Linked DNA regions of Notamacropus eugenii. The protein of the gene in region 2 purifies or fractionates together with the protein of the main gene of each other region. This does not show direct contact. Links are inferred from orthologs where the notes say so. Each region holds a gene or a part of one and is shown on either strand. Other genes may lie near its edges.

Region 1 (7,043 bases), on a different chromosome or scaffold from region 2:
TTCAGTCAGTAAACATAGAGGGAGTTATGCTTCATTATTTTCTCGACAATGATATTATTAATTTTTTTACCTGATTATTTCCTTTTCACTTACATCGTTGTAGCTGTGAATACTGTTCTTTGGTTCTTATAGCTTTCCATATTACTTCATACAAATATTCCCACATTTTTCTGAATTCCTCATATTTATCGTTCTTTCTGCCTGACAATATTCCATTACAATTTCTATGCCACAATTTGTTCACTCATTCCTCCATCAATTGGAGCTATAGATGAGATTGAAACAAAACAAAAACACATCTCTTTTTACAATCCCTACAATGGTCCCATTAAGACCGCATCAAAATCATCACTAAGGTGTGTGTGTTTCAGGGATGGGTACCTTTCTCTACCTCTAATCAGTGGGTAACAGCACTGATCACTGTTCAACAATCCTTCCGCCAAGAAAAAACAAAAGTAGTACACACACACACCACACACACACACACACACACACACACACACACTTTAGCATAGGGACCTCCTCAGACCCAGGTAGAACATATTTCTTTTTTTTTTTTTAATTAAATTATTTTATTTGTTTTCAGTTTTTGATAATCACTTCCATATATCTTAGATTTTTTTTCTCTCCCTTCCCCTCTTTCTCCCCTCCCTCCCCACTCACTCTCTCCCTGAGAAGGCATACAATCTTATATAGGTTCTACATATACATTCCTATTAAATGCATGTTGCATAGAAGAATTAAAATGAATGGGAGAAACCATAAAACAAAACAAAACATAATACAAAAGAAAATGGACTGCTTCTGTCTGCAATCCAATTCCATAGTTCCTTCTCTGGATGTGGAAGGCATTTTGGCTCAAGAGTCCACTGGAAATTTTTTAAGTCCTTGCATTGCAATGAAGTACTAAGTCTACCAGAAAAATGCATGTATGTATATAAAATGTATGCATGTTTTTGTAGCCCTTTGGACATAGTTCAAAATTGCTCTCCAGAATAGCTGGATCAGCTCACAGCTCCACCAACAATGAATTAGTGTGCCAACTCTCCCGCATCTTCTCCAACATTTATCATCTTCCTGTTTTGTCATGTTAGCCAATCTGATAGGTGTGATGTGGAATCTCAGAGTTGTATTGATTTGCATCTCTCTAAATCAATAGAGCATTTTTTCATATGACTATAGCTAGCTTTAATTTCTTCTTCTGAAAACTGCCTGTTCATATCCTTTGACCATTTATCAATTGGGGAATGACTTGTATTCTTGTATATTTGACTCAGTTCTCTATATATTTTAGAAATGAGGCTTTTATCACAGATACTAGCTGCAAAAATTCTTTCCCAGTTTTCTGCTTCCCTCCTAATCTTGGTTGCATTGAGTTTGTTTGTGCAAAAACTTTCAATTTAATGTAATCAAAATTATCCATTTTGCATTTCATAATGTTCTCTATCTCTTGTTTGGTCATAAATTTCTCCATTGTCCATAAATCGGACAAATATGCTATTCCTTGCTCCCCTAATTTGTTTATAGTATCAGTCTTTATACCTAGATCATGTATCCATTTGGACTTTATTCTTGTGTACAGTGTCCGGCATTGATCTATGCCCAGTTTCCGCCACACTGCTATCCAGTTTTTCCAGAAATTTTTGTCAAACAGTGAGTTCTCATCCCAGAAGCTGGGGTCCTTTGGTTTATCAAACAGTTGATTGCTATATTCATTAACTACTGTGTCTTGAGTACCTAACTGATTCTACTGGTCTGCCCCTCTGTTTCTTAGCCAGTACCAAGTGGTTTTGATGATTGCTGCTTTATAATACAATTTGAGATCTGGTAGGGCTAGGCCACCTTCCCTAGCAATTCTTTTCATTAGTTGCCTTGATATTCTGGACCTTTTGTTCTTCCAGATGAATTTTGATATTTTTTCTAGCTCTAGAAAATAATTATCTGGTAGTTTGATGGTTATGGCACTAAGTAAATTAATTTAGGTAGAATTGTCATTTTGATTATATTAGCTTGGCCTACCCACAAGCAACTGATGTTTTTCCACTTACCTAGATCTGACTTTATTCGTGGGAAGTGTTTTGTAATTATGTTCATATATTCCTTGGGTTTGTTTTGGCAGGCAGACCCCCAGATATTCTATAGTGTCTACTATAGCTTTAAATGGGATTTCCCTATCTCTTGCTGTTGGACTTCGTTAGTAATATATAGAAATGCAGATGACTTGTCTGGGTTTATTTTGTAACCTGCAACTTTGCCAAAGACGTTTATTATTTCAAGTAGTTTTTTACTTGATACTCTGGGATTCTCTAAATATATCATATCATCTGCAAAGAGTGATAACTTAGTTTCTTCTTTGCCTATTCTAATTCCTTCAATTTCTTTTTCTTCTCTTATTGCTTCAGCTAGCATTTCTAATACCATATTGAATAACAGTGGTGATAATGGACATCCTTGTTTCACCCTGATCTTATTGGAAATACATCTAGCTTAGGTAGAACACATTTCAAAATGTCCTTGGGGCCAGGAAGGGAAGAAACCCTATGCTGGGGGGGAAAGTCCAGTACTGGAAGCCTGGAGATATTCTAAGTAGCCCACGATCATTATGTGACCTTGGTGGGCAAATCACTTCATCTCTTGTGTCTCAGTTTCCTCATCCATTAAATAAGAGAGTTGGACTAGGTAACTGATAAGATCTCTTCTCATGATGACATTCTACATTGTCTTAACATGGATGGAATGTGGTATCCTGGCTTGTTCATTGGCCTGGGAACTGTCAGCTTTCACAACAATGCTGTGCTAACTAGGATAGTTCCTGCACTCCCAGGATCTTCCACACTAAAAGGAGATATGATCTTCATGTCCAATATCACATTATAGGATCACACGTTAAGTAAGAGCCGAAAGGGACCTTAGAGGTCAATCTGATACAACAAATGCGAAAACCAAAGCCCATAGAGGTCAGGTAGCTTCCCCAAGGTTGCACAGGTAGTAAACATAACAAGGATTGGAACCCAGGTCTTCGGTCTCCAAATCCAGCACTTTCCAATCCTAGCTCTGGCTTTGTCTCCTACTGCGTCACTTAACTTCCCCTGAACGTCTTTATCTATGAAATGGGCATAAACTTCTCCTGACCTACTGGGACTTTACTGTTCTTGTAAAGATCAAGTGGGAAAGTAGATATGAAAAGCGCTTTAAAAGTTCTTGAGCCCTAGGATGCAGGATATTGTTATAATTTCTCCTCAAAACAAGTTTTGAGTTGTTCTTGAGATTCTGATTCCGAATCGCTATCCCTTTTGTACGTATTCTTTATCCAACGGAGCCAGTCTTCACAATAGCCCTGCAAAGCGGGAAGGGCAGATATTATGATCATTTTATAAAAAGAAGTGACTCCCCTGGAGTCAAGAAAGCCGGCAGGTGCTGGATTCGAAACCCGATCTCCTAGTTCCACGTCTCCCCTCTGTGCCCCACTGCGGGCTAATGGGATATGAAAGCGAGCCTCCCACTCAGCCCAAGCTACCGCTCACAGCCCAGCACCTCGATGGCACAGTTCTCCCTACAGTCCTCCGCAAAGTTCAAGTCAAACATCTCAGTCCCTGGCCCAAAGCTGGGACATGGCGTGCCAATCCTCGGGCTGCGTTACAGGGAGAGGAAGGGGGAAAAGCAACAACGCACCAAGAGGGGGAGGAAAAAAAGAATCCCAAACCCCAATCACACACCAACAACAGGCAGGCCCTGCACTGGTGGAGAGGAAAAAAATCAAAGACTACCCCCCACCCAGCACGCACAAGCGATCCGCAGGCGCAGGCTTGGTCCCGGGAAAACTACATTTCCCAGCGAGGCGCGCGGCCTTGGCACATGCTCGCTAAGGAAAGCGGAGCCGGGCAAACCCCGGGCCTTTGCCTCTCTCATTGTCTGGCTTCGGGATGCGGGAGTTGCGGGGCGAGGGGAGGGGGGACGGAGGGCGTTGCAGGGAGTAGAGCTGATTGGTCGGGCGGCGCGTCCGTCACTCCCACCTTCTCTCTTTCTCCCCGCCTTCTCCTCCTAACCCCCACCTCCCCTCTTCCACTTCTGCTCCTCCTGCTCCTGCGGCCCCCTCCCCTCCGCCTCCGGCTTCCCCCGGGTTTTGCAGCGGGGCAGCGCCGCTGGATGCCCAGGCTCCCGCGAGGAGGGCGCGCTGGGGGCTTCTTGCATGGGGGGGTGCGGGGGGGAGAGGCCGGTGCTACATTGTTTCCGAACCCTTCCTCCTGAGACCCACGTCCGGCTCCGCAGCCCAAGATGATGAAGTTTCGGTTCAGGCGGCAGGGCAACGACCCCCAGAGAGAGAAGATCAAGCAGGATCTCTTTGCATTTAACAAGGTGAGGGGATGGACTGCGGGGGAAGGGGGGCGGCGGCCGGGCTGGAGCAAAAGCTGCCTGAGATGGGGGGCGTGCGGTGGGTTTGGGGAGGTGGGGGGAAGGAAGAGGAGAAGGAGGAAAGGAGCAGCCACGTTGGGCTAGGAGGGGCTGGGGCGTTGGGGGGACTGGACTTAGCTCTTCGCCCTAACGACGTCCCAGTCCGAGAAGTGAGAGCCCCGGGGCAGAAAGACCCTAACCCACCCACCCTTCGTGCCCCTCGGAAGTGGGTGTGGAAGCTAGGGCCCTTGGAAGCTGATTCACTCTCGGGCTGGGGATCCGAATGCACAATCTCAACTGCCCCGCTCCCCTCCCTCAGTCCAACTCTCTGACTCCCCATATTCCCCAACCGACAATTTCCCTCTGTGTAAGAGAGAGGGGAAGAACTCTCTGCCTTCTCTCCCCTTTTCTCAGCCTTCACTCCCTTTTCCTCCCTCTCCACCCTGCCGTGGAAGTGTCCCCGGAATGGGGGCACAGCATTTTAGGAGTGGAAGAATAGGTTTGTTTTGCTTTGCTAACTGATGCTGGGAGTTGCTGGACAGGGCAAAGGTAGTTGGGATGTTTGCGGCCGGTCGGTGGTAGAGAGAACTATGACTGGGGCAGCTTGGGAACCGAGGGATCACACAGACACAGGCAGAGAAAACAAACAGAACAGTACTGCTCCCTTCCCCCAATATACACACACGCACACGCACACATACACACTCACACACTCACACACTTTCTCTTTCTCTCGCTCTCTGTCTCTCTGTCTCTGTCTCTCTCTGTCTCTCTCTCTCTGTCTCTCTCTCTCTCTCTCTCTCTCTCTCTCTCTCTCTCTCTCTCTCTCTCTCTCTCTCTCTCTGTCTCTCTCTCTGTCTCTCTCTGTCTCTCTCTCTGTCTGTCTCTCTCTCTCTGTGACTTCAGACCTGCTTCTTTGTAAAGCAGTCCGATTACTCTACCCTCATCTCGTCTCCTCTCCTCACCCCCGAAACAAATCTTTTCACCTAGGGATGTGGTTCATCTTGTCCCCAGGGCAAGCGTCCTGCCACTCTTCCTTTGCAACCGTCTCAACTTTTCTTCTGGCCTCTCTGGGTAATTATAGGCACAGAGATGAGAAAGGAAACAGACCCTGAAACAAATGATTCTTGAGTATTAATTACCCCCTACCTGGGTCATTGGCTACTGCCCTTGGGGAGTAGGGACCCTGAATGTGTGGACCATTTAACAAGTTTCATTTGTGGTAAAATACTGAATACATAATTGATACACACAACAATCTGGTGAGAATAGGTATCCCCATTTTATTGAAATTGAAACTCTGAAAAAAGGTAATTTGACCAAAGGCATTCAGTTATTAAGTGGCAAAGCCAGGAGCCCAAGTCTCTCACTTCAGAGGCCTGTGATCTCTCTATTAAACAAGTGGTTTCTAGGCTTTTAAGTATGAGGAGTCTTTTTAACATCAAATATTGTGGACGCCTACAGGATAGTAGTTGTACTATTATCCCTGATTGAGAGAAATGCATGGTAACAAAGTTGCTGTGAATTCAGCAATACTTTTAAGTTTGTATCTTTTTTAATCACAGCATCTTATGTAAGTTTGCAAAATAGTAAAGAGTGTAAGAGACATTTGCTTATTTCTTTACTATTGTTTCTTATTTACAATGTTGATGCCTAATGAGATGGCTGGAGTTTCTTTGCAAAAACTCCCTGGCCCTCAGGTTGGGAACCACAACATTAGACTGTGAAGTACCTGTAACATATCAGATTTTTTTCTCCCTCTGATTTCTCTGTTTTTTTCCCAGCTAACACAATCTTGACATAGATCCCCTCTTGAAAGTAGCCCGGTTCTAAAGTCAGGGAGCCTGAAATCAAACCCTATTTTTGTCACTCACTGTGTGACCTTAGGCAAACCTCCCCAGCCTCAGTTTTCTCATCTGTAAGAGTGTCAGACTAGATGGGCTCTGAGGTCTTTTCTGACTCTGTGAGCCTGTATGGTTCTCCTGAATCACTGGCCCTTCTCTTTCTCTATTTGTGGTCTAGACATTGAACTTTTCTTTACCCATGACAGTTAAAATTAGGCTCCCTGTGCTTAAAATTCTTAAAGTCTAGTTGAGGGGAATAATAGATAGTTGAAAAGATGTGTGCCAAATGAAAGAGGTAGAATTTGAGGCAGGGATGGTCAGAGAAGGCCATGGAGGGGGTAAAATTTGCTTTGAGATTTGAATAATAAGGGATGCAATTCACCTAAGCAACTTTGAAGCAAGTTTCTTGGGCTGGTGGGAAGTGGGGCTGACTTGAGAAGGGATAACTCATTACCAGGAATATGATTTGTGCATAGGAGATGGGAGGGGAACAATCTTCTGGATGGGTAAACCAGTCCCTGGTTAGTCTCAGCTTTGCTACCTCTTTGTCACTTTGGGGCATTCCATTTCCCCTCAGTGGACTCAGTCTCTTCATCTGCTGGAGTAGGCCAATTCTTCCTAGACAGGAGATTCTAATATCCTGTGGTTGGGAAGCCTTGGAACTCCCAGTGGCAGACAGATTGTGTACAGTGTGTGTGTGTGTTGTGTATGTAGGAATCTTATGCCTTTCTGTGGGAAGAATTATAAAAGGTTGCAAGGATTATAAAAAGTGTGTGTGTGTGTGTGTGTGTGTGTGTGTGTGTGTGT
Region 2 (7,710 bases):
AGTCATAACTGAAGTAATGTCTTCATTACTGTAACCTAGAAACTGTAATTCAAAGCTGCTACTCTTACATTTTCAAGGTATCTTTCTCTAAATCAAAAGTGAAGGCTAATAACTTAAATCTCAGATGACAAAAACTTACCTTGATAAATATTAACTCTAGATAGTTGTTTCCTGAGAGCCTAATAAATAAACTCCAATGGTTCCCTATTTCCTTTAAGATCTGGTTATCTTTTAAAGCAATTTACAACCTGGCCCCAATATACGTTTCCAACTCTATGACTTCCACTTTCCCACTTTACAATCCAGTCAAACTGGCCTTCTTGATGTTCCTCCCATAATATTCTATTTCTAGTGTCTGTGTTTGTGCTGCATAGCCCCCACACCTGGAATGCAGTCCCTCCTCACCTTTACCTCCTTAAAGACTCGGTTCAAGCAATACCTATATGAAACTTTTTTTGATCCCCTTCTTCCCCACTCCCTTCGCCCTTCCATCACCATGTCAAGTGCCCTCTCCTAAAAAACTTACTTTATATGTATTTTGTGTATGCTACCTTAAGTGCATGTCTCTCCTGATAGGCTATCAGTGCCTTGAAAATAGGGTCTGTCCATTTTGGTCTTTGTATCTATCCTCAGAGCCTAAGGGCAGCTAATTGGGAGAACAGGTAGAGTGCTGAGCTTACAGTCAGGAAAACTGAGTTCAAATCTTACCTTAGACATTTACTAGCTGTGTGACCCTGGTCAAGTTGCTTGACCCTGTTTTCCTCCATTTCCTCAACTGTAAAACGAACTGAAAAAGGAAATGACAAGCCACTCCAGTATCTTTGCTGAAAAAACCCCCAACAGAATCATGCAGAGTGGAACATGACTGAAATAACTGAAGAAACAAATCCTCAGAGCCCAGCACAGTGCCTAGTACATATTGGGTGTTAATGGTTGATTATAAATAATTCTACCATCAGGATTCTTCAAAGTTAACTCCTTCTAGTTGGAAAGGCTGTTTGGTATTCAAAGACCTTCCTATCGGACCCCTCCTATCTTTATTATCTTCTAATACCTTACTCCCTGACCCATGCCTGCCCCAGGTATATACTTTGACTTCCTGGCTGTTCCACAAACTGGACACTCCATCTCTCAGCACCAGGCATATTCTCTGACTGTTCCCCATGCCTGAAATGCTCTCCCTCCTCCACTCTGACAACTAACCTCTCCGTCTTCTTATAATAAGAAGCCTTTCCCAACCTTTCTTAATTCAAGTGCCTTCCCTCTCTCTTAATTATTTCCTATTAGTCTTCTCTATAGCTTGCTTTATATTTGTTTGCATGTTGATTCCCTATTTAGACTATAAGCTTGAGGACAGGGACTCTCTTTTGACTCTTTGTATACCCACAGTACATATTGTTGTTCAGTCGTTTTCAGTTGCATTCAACTCTTTGTGACCCCATTTGGGGTTTTCTTGGCAAAGACACTGGAATGGTTTGCCATTTCCTTCTCCAAACAGGGTTAAGTGACCTGCCCAGGGTCAAACACCTAGTAGGTGCCTGAGGTCAGATTTGAACTCAGAAACGTGTCTTCTATCCACTGTGCCACGTAGGTGCCCTCCTGGCACATAACAGGCTCAGTGACGGACTCCTTGAAAGGAAATGTGAACTTTTCTTTAGAATGAATCAAGTTATTTTAAAATCAAACTACTAAAGATAAACAACATTCAGACTTGGAGAATGATATAGGGAAAAACAATGTGATCTCTTAAAAGTTGAAAGATCAATTAACTCTTCCTAAGGCATTTTCAACTTTGTCATATCACCTTTGCAAACAAGAAGGCTGACATAAATTTTTCATAGACTTGATCTTAAATTTACAGACTGATATTTTCCTTCTTACTTCAAGATTCTAAGAATCTATGATTTTATGGGTATTCTTTCAATGAGTGAATCAGAACCAATATATTACAACCCTTCACACTTTAGTGTCTTAGTTTCTGTGGCCAGCACTTTCAGACAGGTTTTATTAAGATTAATAATATTTTACAGGAAAAAAATTCATTCTCAAACAGCTACCTAACATACTCTTCAAGTTGAGTATTGGTACAACAAAAAAGCTTCTTCATTTGTATTTAGAAAATTGGTTAGGATCATAAATCTAACACTTTAATAAGAGTTGATGAAGCATGCACTATTCATTGCCCTGAAAAGGGAAACAGATATGACATCTTCTATTAGAAATAAAAGAGTTTTTTAGAACTTAATGACTATAAGAAGTTAGTTTACAGTTTAATCTTTGGTCAAATTTAGCAACTGCAACATAAAGAAACTCAATCATTATCATTACCTACTATTTTCACATTCTTTCTCTGAATTGGCATTGACAAAAGTAACTTCTGCTGCAATGCCAGTTCAGTGTGGCCAAGAGAGAAAAGAAGTATATTCTTCTGTCTTTCCCATTCAGGGTAGAAAACACAGCCTTGGATCAATAGTGTTGCCATACAGCAGACAAAATTAGGACCTCTTCTATACTGCATTTTAAAAATCCTAATTGAAACAACTTATATATATATAAATATATAAATACATATACAAATTTATGAATATATAAAAATATAAAAGTTATATAAATAACTATATATTGCTTTAAGATTTGCAAAGCTCTACACATAAATTATTTCATTTGATAAATGTAAATAGCTACATACTAGCATAGTATTTAAAAAATACTAGCTTGGGGTTTTCTTGGCAGATGCTGGAATGGTGTGCCATTTCCTTCTCCTCATTTTACAGATAAGTAACTGAGGCAAGCAGGGTTAAGATAAATACAGACTTAGAAGATAAACATTAACAGCTAGATATTAGCATAGTACTTAAAAAATATTAGCTAATTAACTAGCTCTTGCGTAAATAAGTGGCTTTATCATAGGATTAGATAGGTAGGTAGGTAGGCAGGCAAAGGGAAAAAAAAGAGAAGAGAGAACACACACAGCTAGGCATCACAGTGGATAAAACCCCTGGACCTAGTCAGGAGAACCTGAGTTCAAATCTAGCTCCAGAGATTAGCTGTGTGATACTAGATAAACGCCTCCGTTTCCTTGTCCTTATCTCAGAATTGTTGCTGAAATGAAAAAAGCATTATTTCCAGTTCAGGACTAATTGGGAGCAGGTATATAGAATTCCTTTAAGCAACTAAATATTTCAACACCAAATGCTTCAGGACTAAACTTATATAAGCAAACATTTTGCAAATGCTGCAGTATCCTTCCTTTTCCTTCCCATTCCCATCCCCTAAATAAATACATAAAGAAATGAAGCAACAAAATAAACCTGGCAGAAATTTGAAATGACTCTGAACTTGAACTTTCAATCACTTGCAGTCCTCAGCTGCACTGTGACTCAGCGTTTTACAATGCCAGAAGCGAAGTGAGATAAAGGGCTTTCTTTTTAATGGCACCGGCTAAATCTGGAGCTTCAGAGCTTGCGGCACCTCAAGACAAAAGGTAGAGAGTGGAAAAGGTTGAGTGGTTACAGCACCAAGGGCTCTGACTTTCCTACGTGGTAGAAAACAGGCAGCATGGATCTAACTGAAGTGGAATGAGTGTCTTGTAATTCCAAGGGAGACAAAGCTGGCTTCAATTTCCTAAAACAAAGATTATTGGCATGTTATTCACAAATAACCAAGCAGCTTACAACGAAAACAAAGGGAAAAGCTACATTCCTCTAACCACCCTAAAGTTAGGAACATGTTTCAGAGTCAGGAAACCAACACTTGAAGAGTTGAGAAAGTCAATTTCCTCATCCTCTTTCTTAATGCAAGTAAAACGGGGTCACCATGGGGGGAGCGGGGGTGTCTTTCAAAAACTGAATAAAACTAAGTCCAATAGGAAAAAAAACCCAATCTGAAAGGTAGCGAGAAAGAGACGGAAGCTCGTTTTGCCCGAAGGTCCTGGGAACAAGCCATCCAGAGGCAGAGGGAGATGAAGGAGGGCAGAAGAACGGGAGGCGGTAGGTAAAGCTTAAGGGGGGGAGGGGGAAACAAAGGGTTCGGGGTGACAAAGGACTAGGGTAACCCCAACTAGATAATGAAACAGGGGCTTCCCGTAAGGCAGGAGGTGGGCCCAACAGTCATCAGGGTGGAGACGGGGCAGCGAATAAACAGAAGCAGTCCATGACAGCAGGAGGTCGGGCAGCACAAGGGGGGCATGGACTGGGGCAATCCGGAAGTCCGAGGTTCAAGTCCCGCCTTTCACACAAACTGTGGGACCATGGCAACGAACTCTCTGGGACCACGAGTAGTGGGAGAGCTGCCACGCATAAATCACAGGTCTGAAAGACGGTGAAGCTGAGGGGCATCCCTAAGACACCTTTCAGCCGTTAAAAAACACGGAAGGATTCTGTTGGGGGTCAAACCTTGCCCTTCTCTGAGCCTCAGTTTCCCTATCTGTAAGTCGAGAGATCAGGCCAGGACGCGTGACCGAGAGGATAACCAAGTTTGAGGGGAGCTCTAAAATCATTCTCAAGTTTTTCCCAGTATTTTCCTCGCACCACCAAGAAACAAACAAAACCCAGAAACCTGCCGGATACTTTTGACTTCTAGTCCAGAGGAGCCAGCGCCCCAACACGAGCCGGTGTCCCCTCCCCGCCCCCCGCAGCTGCCCCCTCCAACCGCCGGTCCCAACCACCTCCTGGAGGGGAGGGGCTCGACTGCGCCGCCGCGTCCGGCACCGAGGGGGCGGGGCTGGCTCCCGACGTTATACGTGAGGTCGGAGTTCAGCTCCTCCTCTTCCCTCCTCTACCTCCTCTCGCTTCTCCTTCTCCTCAGCCGTCGCCGCTGCCGCCTCTCCAGGGCCCGGGTTCGCCGCCGCTTTCTGCCGTCTCCCGCCCTCTGCCCTGCGATGGCGAACGTGGCTGATACGAAGCTCTACGACATCCTCGGGGTCCCTCCAGGCGCCAGCGAGAACGAGCTGAAGAAGGTAGCGGCATGCGCGGGCGGTGCGGCGCGGGCCGGCCGGCCGGCGGGCGAGCGGGGCGGCGCGGGGCCAGGACCTGGGCTCGGGCCCAGGCGCGGGGCAGGTTTAGGGCTGGGCAGCCCTGGCGGGGAGAGCGGCCCGGCGGCTCGAGGGGCTGTACGGCGTCCGGAGCTTGAGACCGCGCCGGGGCCTGCCGGGGAAAGCGGAGCTGGCCTGGCTGGGGCCCACATGCGGCGCCCCGGCTTCGGCCTCCAGGCGGCTCCCTTCCTCCTCCGGCTTCCTGCCGCCGCCGCCGCACCGGTGCCTCCCCCCACCCCCGCCCCCCCGGATCCTGCTCATCCCACTGACCTTGGGAGCAGCGATGCCGGGCGGAAATGGAGGCCGGGGCTCCCCGGGGAGCTGTCCTGGGGCCTCCCGCTCGGTTTTTCAGGCAGTACCTTCCCCTAAACGAGCAACACCCCCGAGGCCCGGGCACTGAAACCTCCGCCCTGTGGCCGCCCCGAGAGCCGCCCCACCTCCCTCGCATCCCGGTGCCGAGGTCACCACCCCTGGAAGAACAGGTTGAACCCACGCACCTGGGTGCATCCTCGGCCCGGCCTTTACCCCCTCCTTACTAAAGCAGCCACCGATAAAAGGGGTGTGTGCCTGGGACGAGGGAGGACGCTGGTTGGGAAAGGATGTTTCCCCTGTGTCATCAGCTAAAAGCTTCTCCTCCGCCGGGCCCTCTCTGCTCGTGGTCCCAAGGGCTGCGGACTAAGGGGGAAAGGCTGCTGGCATCACCTGGCCCCCGGGCTCCTGCTGACATTGGAGCAGCTGGGAATGAGGCGAGAACTGCTTCCGTGGGCGATGTTGCTGCTCCGTAACATGCAGTGCCTCATCGGCATGGGTGATTAAACTGGGGTGTAGCACATGGGCACGTTGGGGTGCATTGTTGTGAAGCCTGGTCATTCCAATTGTCGGTTCTGCTGGGATGAAACTGGCACTTCGTCTGAAGTAAACACTTGAAGCCCTCGCCAAAAAAAAAAAAAAAAAATGGAAGACCTCGTTACTTGTAGTAGTGCAGTCTATCATCTGAGAATTTCAGAGCACTTTAGATATTTAATTAATCCTCACCGCATCCTTCAGATGTTGCATCAAAATTTGTGGGCTGGCTGAAATGGAATTGCCCTAGGCGATGAGGCTGAGGGACTGCTGGGAGTAAAATCTCTGAAAATGGGCTTCCTGTCACCTTACCGGAAGTGATTTACTATTATATAATTCATTTCTCTGCGTGAAGGCTTTAGTCATTAACCATATAGTTTAACATGTATTTCCAAATCTACCAAGCCAAAGATCACGACATGATTTAATTACCCAGAGCATTCCTGTATGAAAATGAGTTGTAAGCCTATAGTAGTTTCATTTTGCCCTGTTCCTGGTATGGGGGATGCGGAGGGGCATCTACTAGAGCTTATTTACGATCTGTTCTGAATATTCATTAACTATTAGTACTTATGTAGATTACTAGAAACTTTTTCCTCTTGTTTCTTTTCAATAAAGCACCCAGGAGTAAGTGAGAGACTGAAACAATGTTCCATTATATTTTCTTCTCTCTATTTGTATCTCAATTTTTAAAAACTCTTCAACCGTGATTGTAACTGGGGAATGTTATGGTTACATAAACAAATGATATTAAAACTGGAGTTAATTTAAATAAGTATCCTGGCGGAAAAAAGGTACGTATTTAGGATATAAGCTTAGTGAATTTTTTTACTTAAAATTCTTCCTCAAAAAAAGTGCAAGTTAAAATAGTTTTAACTGTTTTTGTGAGTAATTTTTTTGTTATCCTTTCTCTAAGGCTTATAGAAAGTTGGCCAAGGAATACCATCCTGATAAGAATCCAAATGCAGGGGACAAAGTAAGTTTTAGATATTTGAGATTTTGTGTTTAGCTTTCAAACTTAGATAGTTGTATTCCTTTTGAAAATAAATATTTTCTTATTTTAACAAAGTCAGGTCTCGTTGGCTTAAAGAATAATGTAAGTTGTATAGTAAAAACATTTTTAAAAGAGCTGAAGGAGATAAGACTAGAAATAATTAATCTGAAAAACTGCAGCTTCTATTTCTTTAGACTCTAAATCTGTTTGTAGGCTACTGTGTACATAAATGACTCATGGGGTTTCCCTTCATCGTCATCATAAAGTAAATGTCCCTGTCATTAAGGGCATTTACAGTCTATTTGGGGAGATGCAGAATAATAGCAAATATAAAATAATGCATAAATACATAAGAATTGCAAGTAAAGGGACCTATTAGGTCTGAGTTGTGGTGAAGGTGATTACTGAAGGAAAGGAATTATGAAGTTTTCCTTAAGTAATTCAGTGGATAGGGAAAGACAGTTCCTAAAATGAAAAGCAACACAAACTGAAGTATAGAAAGAGATATCATAGTGTAATGGAAAGACTTGGATGTCTTACCTCTAGTGAGTCACTTAAGTTTTCTGGGCCTTAGTTTCCTCATGTAAGATAACAGGCTTGGATCAAATGACTTAGATTATTTCCACTTCTGCGTGTTATAAATTTTGATTAACAATATTTGGATACACTGCAGCAGGTTTTTAATTAGAGATTGATTGCTATACCGCCTCTGTCAGTGTGTGGTTAGACAGACTTTAATGTTAGCCAAAGCAGAATATAATGGAGTCATTTTGCTGAAGTGGGAAAATACAAAACAAAATTTAAAAATTTTTAGCATTAATCCTTATTACCATGAATAATG

What was found. The genes of interacting proteins can lie anywhere in the genome.
Region 1: the proteins of DNAJA2 (region 2) and LLGL1 purify together in Homo sapiens (co-immunoprecipitation; 3 studies listed by BioGRID and IntAct, with this or other methods). This does not show direct contact. The link is inferred for Notamacropus eugenii from reciprocal best matches to the Homo sapiens genes DNAJA2 and LLGL1.

The regions. Positions count from the first base shown.
Region 1 is NC_092874.1:335,641,939-335,648,981, forward strand, and holds the start of LLGL1 (lethal(2) giant larvae protein homolog 1), read left to right. Parts: upstream 1-4,030; 5' UTR 4,031-4,275; coding exon 4,276-4,356; intron 4,357-7,043. UniProt on the Homo sapiens protein: Cortical cytoskeleton protein found in a complex involved in maintaining cell polarity and epithelial integrity. Involved in the regulation of mitotic spindle orientation, proliferation, differentiation and tissue organization of neuroepithelial cells.
Region 2 is NC_092872.1:461,624,292-461,632,001, reverse strand, and holds the start of DNAJA2 (dnaJ homolog subfamily A member 2), read left to right. Parts: upstream 1-4,691; 5' UTR 4,692-4,879; coding exon 4,880-4,957; intron 4,958-6,791; coding exon 6,792-6,851; intron 6,852-7,710. UniProt on the Homo sapiens protein: Co-chaperone of Hsc70. Stimulates ATP hydrolysis and the folding of unfolded proteins mediated by HSPA1A/B (in vitro).